Linked DNA regions of Canis lupus familiaris. The protein of the gene in region 2 purifies or fractionates together with the protein of the main gene of each other region. This does not show direct contact. Links are inferred from orthologs where the notes say so. Each region holds a gene or a part of one and is shown on either strand. Other genes may lie near its edges.

Region 1 (3,645 bases), on a different chromosome or scaffold from region 2:
ACGAAGGGGGCAATGGCCTCCACGCAAGGTCCAGAGGCGGTTCACCCTTTTAGGGATGAGGACAACATTGATCTGAAGGGCCCTGGCATAGAGCCCTGGGGGATACAGACTTGGCCAGAGCCTACACAAGCCCAGGCGGTAGGCTCTGCATGATCAAGATCATGAAGTTTTAACTTTTCAACAGGTCACAGACCACTTGCTATGGCTGAAATGGTGCCCAGGTGGATGGAACACTCAGGGTCGAGGTGAAGGCAGCCAGGCTGCTTCCCTGCCTGGCCCAAACTGGCAAGGAGTTGAAGGGGAGACTAGCGTGAGCAAAGACCTTTCTCCCTTGAGAAGGCCTTCTGCATAATAAGCCCTAGACCCTGGCCAGAGGTGAGGGGAGCATGAGCAGCCCTGGCCTTTGGGGAAGGGACTATTTGGACAAGACCAGAATTGGCCAGGGCTTAGCCTAACTCACCAGCAGGATCTCAATGGCACCCAGGATATACATGGCTGCTGCAAATGTTGTTCCCAGGTAGAAGCACAGGCCCACAGCGCCTCCAAATTCTGGTCCCAGTGAGCGGGAAATCATGAAATAGGAGCCTCCAGCTACAAAAGAGAAAGTCAAGGCTGGTTCTTCTTCAAGGGGGGGTTCCCCCCATGACAACCCCTCACAACCACCCAGGGTGACAGGGACTGTTTTTCCCATTTACAGATGAGCAGAGGGTTGGGAGGTTTGCACAAGCCTGCACGGTTAATAAGTGGCCACGCTGGGGCTGAACCCCCGTGCCATCTGACTCCAGTGCCTAGCACAGCCAGTGAAATGACTGCTTTGCTAGGGCAACCCTAATCCATAGCAGTGCTCAAGTGGTCCACTGTCCCACCAAGTCCTTGCACTCAGGCCGGTCCCCACAGCCTCTAGCTGGGTGTATCCTAGCTCAACAGGCCTTACTCCTCGCAAGGGCTGTGTCTGTTAGTCAGACCCCTCCTGACCAAGACAAGGGCTGTGTTGTCCAGTTTTTTGTCCCCAGGGCCCAGCACATGGCTGACCATCAGGTGAGTACCATGGCTAACCCTCCTGACGTGAGACTGTGCTTCCTCTGGAGTCTAGATAGACAAGACTGACAGAGTCAACACTGGGCCACAGGGCTAGCGGGGGTGCAGGGGTTAAGAGTGACCCCATGTTGTTTGTTCAGTCTGCTCCTAATAAAGTGTCTCTGGTGAAAAATCTGGGGATAGGACTCCAAAAACTTTAAAAAAGTTAATCCCTTCCATGCTGTAATCCTACCTCTAGGATCCTCTCCTAAGGGAGTTGCCAAGGGCAGTGCATAGAGATCTGTGTGCAAAACTGTTCATGACAACGTTGTAACAGTGAAGAAACAGAATCCAAGAGCAGAATAATCACATAAATTAGGTAATATCTTATTGATCCAGTTTAACCAAATACTGTTTTTAACTCAAGAAGGTGTGATTATGGGTACTTCCAATTTTCCTTTCTATATTTTTCTTCACTTTCAAACCTTCTTATGGTAATCATAATCTTTTCCCCTTCTTACTTTTATACTAATACTACTAAAGCTGTTATTTAAAAAAAAAATCCAGACACAGAAGCCAAACTGAATAGCTAAACAGCCAAAGTGGAATAGTTTGAGCAACAAAATAAATAATGATAGCACTGGATTATGATCCAAAGAATAAAATACCCGGAAATCTACATCAGTATAAAAAATGGTTGAATAAATACATAAACAGGGTCTCTGAGAACTAAGTCCAATCCCATCATCCCTGCTGAAAATGAAAGCCCTCTACATTGTCTATCCTGTAATCCGTAGCATCTAGATTCCTTAGTTTGGGCCACCCCGTGTGTCCCAGTATCTTCTTTGTCAGCCCCAGCATCCTTTTTACAAATATTACTTTTATACTAAACAAACGAAACACAAAACATAACAGTAATCTCAAATTCTGTCAAGCAAGGATGCTCCTAAGTGTTGGTACCATCACAGAGTCAGTGATTAAGACCTCACTAGAGAACTACTTGGGGAGGGAAGGAGGGCATGGCTTGGCAATGAGGGTTCCCAGGCACATCAAGGTGGATTCTGGACCCCTTCCTCCCATCAGGCCTGGGGTGGCGCTTACCCACCTGGAACCACACCGTTGGTGGCGATGGCGCTCATGGAGATGGCTGTCAGCAGAGTCTGTGGGAAGGAGGCCTAGGTGAGCAGCTCAGCTGGGCGGGCTCTGTGGGGTGGCTGTGGCCCCCACCCCAGCGAGGATACTCACACAGCAGCAGCAGATGAGAACAATGAGGAGGGCCTGCAACACACCGGCTGTGCCTACCATCCAGGTCAGCCTCAGGAACAGGATAACTCCGAAGATGTTTTGCAGGCAGGGCAGGTACACCCCCATGAGGGTGCCCATGCTGGGTGCCTACGGAGCAGGAGGGGAGGAGGGGAGCAGAGAATATCAAAGGGGCTCAGATGCGCCATGGAAGGCCAGCCCCTGGTCACTCAGAAGACTCCTATCCCCAGGGTGTTCTACCAGAGAGTAGGTTGGAATCCCAAGGGTAGTCCTGGGGAGCACAGTGGGTGGGGTGACAGCTAGGATGTCTATGTTGACTTCCGTATAGGAAGGCAGTTTGGGACTGGAAAGTTATAAAACCAGATTATTTTAAAAACCCCACATGTGAGCTTTTGGGCCTCACCTCCCCCTCCAGGTATGGCCCTCTTCCCTTCCTCTCTTTTCTTAAACTTCTAGAACCTTCTCATCCAGCAGGACCCATGTCACTCATGTCAGAATCCAAGAAGTTGTTCCTGGGAGCCCCTCTCTCCAACCCCCAAGTCCAGTCCAGGTGGATATGAAGTTCTGCTTGGTCTGCTTCTTAGCTGCCCTGAGATCAGCCTGCCTGACCTCAGTCTTAGTCCCTTGACCCTGGGGCACTACACCTGTGGCACCTGGGTGGTGCCCCCCCCATGCCTGTCGACTTCTCCACACTCCAGCCCACTCTGCTGCCACAGCAGGTCTCTGAAAACCAAGTCCAATCTCATCATCCATGTTGAAAACCCTCTGCGTCCTCAATCCTGTAATCCACAGCGTGGGCCAGGCTCCCTGATCTGGGCCACCAGGTGTACCCAATCACCTTCTCTGACACCTTCAGCCCCTGATGACATTGACTACTCACAGCCTCTGAACCAGGACATGTGCTGGGCTCTGCCTGGAAGGGTCAGCCCTGTCTCCTTGCCTGGCAAACTCTGCTTCAGTTAAACCTTCAGGGGGACTTAACTGTTGCCTCTTCCATGAAGTTCTCCTGGGTTGCTTTAGGTTGAGTTTGGTACTTCCTCTTGTATTCCCTCAACACATGTGATCTACCCTTTCATCATAGTGGTCACTACGGGTCATGGTAACTGTTCACTCAAATGCCTCATGACTGTGCTGGGGTATACTCAGTTTGCTCACTTTTGTTTCTTTTTTTTTTTTTTTTCTTTTTTTTTTAGTTTGCTCACTTTTCTTTCTTTTTTTTTTTAATTTTTATTTATTTATGATAGAGAGAGGCAGAGACATAGGCAGAGGGAGAAGCAGGCTCCATGCACCAGGAGCCAGACGTGGGATTCGATCCTGGGTCTCCAGGATCGCGCCCTGGGCCAAAGGCAGGCGCCAAACCGCTGC
Region 2 (3,645 bases):
TCTCTGGCCATCAGGGCCAATGAAGACACAGAGGGATAGGAGCAGGGCCAGCCTCATGGGCACCTCCGCTTACCTCTACACACAGCCCCCTGCTCTGAGCAGGCCCAGCTCAATCCTGTATACCCATGCCTGTCACAGGATGGTGGGGGAAGGTGGAAAACATGCTGGTATTCAAAGGCAACTCACCCCCCACCACCAAGGACCCATCTTCTTGCAGTCAGAAGACAAGCATACACAGCATACACGTGTGCACACATGAGCATGCACACAGGCCCCAGAGCCTCTATGAGCCACCCTCCCTCTGGCACCCTGGACCCACACTCACTTGTGATGTCGTACACCACCACAGCCACTGTAGAGTCCCGGATGTAGCTGGGAATCAGGCTGCGGAACCTCTCCTGGCCGGCTGTGTCCCAGAGCTGCAGCCGTACCTGTCACACGGAGGGCAGGGAGGTCAGTGTGATCCTCACTGGGGGCTGGAGGAAGGCCCTGGCTCTGGGATGCCGGCCCTGCCAGCTCTGCAGTAGACATGGGCTCTCTCAGTGCTGCCCAGCTAATGGCCCCAGCTGATAAGTCCAAAGGAGCCCTCCCTGTCCTTCTAGTTCTAAAGTCAGGTACTCACCGTACGATCTTCCAAGTACATGGTTTTTGACAAGAAGTCAATCCCAATGGTTGCCTATTAGAGAAAAACAGGGAAAGGTTAAAATTGAAATGCCTCAGGCAGGCAGTGATAGCCAGCAAAAGAAGAGACACCCATGCCGAGCCTAAGGCAAGTCCTGCCCTGCTGTCCCTGCCTCCCCCTGCCAATAGTGAAGCCAGTTGTGCCTCTCAGAGGAAGTGGGTTGGGGCTAAGTAAGGATGAGGACAGGTTTTCGGGAGTGACAAAACTGCTCTGTGAAGGGGACAAAAGAACCAGGCGAGGAGACTTCCCCACCCTGATAGGTGTATCCCCTGCCTTCCTCAGGTGGGAGCCTCGAGGAGCAGAAGCTGGGTGGTCTCCTGGCCCAAGCCTGCTTGACCTCACCTGCCTCCTTTCTCTCACAGCCTCCCCTCTGGGCTCCTGGAACTCCGGCCCCCAGGCTTGGTCCACCACTGCCCCCAGCAGGCAGGGGTGGAGTGGGGAGCAGGAGCAAGGCTTGCTGCTGTGTGGGCAGAAGAGAGCAGCTGGGTTTCCTCAGGGACACAACAAACCATCCAGAGCAGCATCTCCCTGGGAAACCACACTGACTCTTTTCTTCCAAACCAACATATTAGGAGCCAACTGTCCCCAGCACACCCCTGTGCCCTCTCTTTTCTGGCAGTGGGGAGAGGTGACTGGGCAGGATATAGTCAGCCTTGTGGCCAGATGGCTGGGACCCACCACTCACTGTGTGGCCTTGGACAGGCCACCCAACCTCTCTAGGCTCACCTGCCCCACAGCATCTAGGATAGGAACTAAGACACTATCAGTGTGATATGGAGATGTCACTGCTATGCAGTTAATAATAATGCCTGATGACATAGCCTGGATGTCCAGGGCACTGATAAATGATAAAGTACAGCGTGGTACACCCATGTGGTTAGAATCCTTAGCAGCCATTTAAAATCATGTTCTCAAAAAATATTTAAGGACCTGAGGAATCGGTCATCAGGCAGAAAAGAGCAGGTTGTAAATATCATGTGTAGCATAATCCCAACAGGATGCACTTAAGTAGGGAGAAGTATTTTTCATATTTTCTTGGATACTAAAATGAAAGGAACACACTAAACACCAGTGTGAATGACGACAGTATGGGCAGTTCTTTTTGCTTCCTTCCTTATAATTTCCTCTATTTTCTCCATTTTCTTCAATTAATGTGTAATAGTTCTAGAAGCAGAAATAGAATATTTTAAAACAAAAACATAAGATTAAAAAGTAACCTTAGTTGTATGGGAAACTGCAGTTACTTCTGATTGCAAAAACCACGATGGAGGGAAGCACAAGGAGATAGAAAAACCCATGTTTGCAGGTCCCAGGCTGTCTGCAAGCATGTTCATGTACATTCAGACGTCCAAATCATTCCACAAAGGAGTTAAACTGTATCCCCCCTGGAAGTCTGCCCTAATGCAGAGTCCTGGAGTGTCGAGGAATCTTACAATCCTAGAACACGGGTGTTAAAACATACACCTTAGACATAACCTCCATCCAAGCCCTTACATTGGAGATGAAAGATCAGGGAAGTTAGAGGGCACGTCTGGGGTGACTTCATGAGTCAGAGGCAGAGCTGGAAGGGTCAACACTACAAGTTCGGTATCACTTGGGCTCTTTGTAGCCCAGCGTGCACATCTTTCCTACATGGTGTAGTCACTGGGGAACAAGTCTGGAATTGACAGGTGGCTTGTGGAACCAGCCTTGTTCCTTAAGTCACACAATGTTCACTCATCAATGAAGTGTGACAGTCCTTGTTTCCAGATACCCTTAAGGAGAATTGTGCAGACCACGTGGAAATCTCTCCCTTCATCAGTGCCCCAGGAGTGCCAAGCGCCTCTGTAAAGTGACCCCTGAGCTGAAAACCAGGTGTGTGACCTCAGGATTGGTGGCAGGGACTGCTGGCTATCCTCCCATATGCAGTCTCCCTTTCGACAGTAATAGGATTCTAGATATGTAAATGGATCAATGGCTACCCCCATAAAGATGGTATTTCCCAGCTTCCTTTGCAGGGAGATGGCTAAATTCTGGTCAGTGGGATGTAAAGGTGATGTATGCATCTTCTGGGATGATGGGGGGCAGGTGACATGCTCACAGCTGCCCTCTTTCCCTTTCCTGCAGCTTGGAATGAAGACAGGTAGTGGTGAGTCATGCTGGCCCATCCAGATGAAGGTGATATAGTAGTGATGACAGAGCAACCAGATGGAGGAAGCCTGAGTCCCTGACCTAGGGGAGCCACCTCAGTGTCCTAGACTGCTTACATCCAGACTATTGTGCGAGAGAGAATGGAATTTCAATTTTGCTTAAGCTACTGTTATTTTGGGTTTCTTTTAACACAGATTAACAATAGTCTAACTAATAGAGCAAAGAACCTTGGAGAAACATACCCCTCAAAGGTAAGCAGCACAGATGGCAATGCTGATATTACTGATGATAGTGTAACAATAACAACCCCAATGCATCTCATGTGGGCACAAGCCACTTCTGCTTCCATGGAGGACTGAGAAGTCACCAGATGACATGACAAGAATTGTGCCATCTGGATCAAGCCTTGGCAAAGCTCAACTCAGTGGCCTCTGCAATCATAACTGCCATTACTGGACACCCACATATTTTATCTCCATTGCCCCCCTCCCCGCCCCGCAAAAGCCTGACCACATCATCGGTATTGAAGAACTAAGTCTGGAAGGGGCCAACCTCCTCTCTACCTCCTCCCTTTCCAGCTGTCTCCCACCTTTAGTCCTACTTTCATGCTTCTTGCACATCAGAGAAATATCTGGTTTCTTAACTGACTACTCTGTCTCCAACAAGCCAGGCCACTGAGCTACAGCAGACCTTCCCATAACTGTACACATTTTTGCCAAAGCACAGGCATTGTTCCTGGGAGTGGCTGAACCATCAGCTTTGCCCCAAAATATATTCCTATGATTGGTTTCCAATAATGGCTGAGTAGTTTTTATCGAACTAACCCTCCTACA

The links.
Region 1: the proteins of RAB6B (region 2) and SLC12A4 purify together in Homo sapiens (co-immunoprecipitation; 3 studies listed by BioGRID and IntAct, with this or other methods). This does not show direct contact. The link is inferred for Canis lupus familiaris from reciprocal best matches to the Homo sapiens genes RAB6B and SLC12A4.

What each region holds. Positions count from the first base shown.
Region 1 is NC_049226.1:82,129,340-82,132,984, reverse strand, and holds part of SLC12A4 (solute carrier family 12 member 4), read right to left. Parts: intron 2,410-3,645; coding exon 2,263-2,409; intron 2,178-2,262; coding exon 2,123-2,177; intron 592-2,122; coding exon 461-591; intron 1-460. UniProt on the Homo sapiens protein: Mediates electroneutral potassium-chloride cotransport when activated by cell swelling. May contribute to cell volume homeostasis in single cells. May be involved in the regulation of basolateral Cl(-) exit in NaCl absorbing epithelia.
Region 2 is NC_049244.1:31,246,084-31,249,728, forward strand, and holds part of RAB6B (ras-related protein Rab-6B), read right to left. Parts: intron 677-3,645; coding exon 623-676; intron 432-622; coding exon 326-431; intron 1-325. UniProt on the Homo sapiens protein: The small GTPases Rab are key regulators of intracellular membrane trafficking, from the formation of transport vesicles to their fusion with membranes. Rabs cycle between active GTP-bound and inactive GDP-bound states.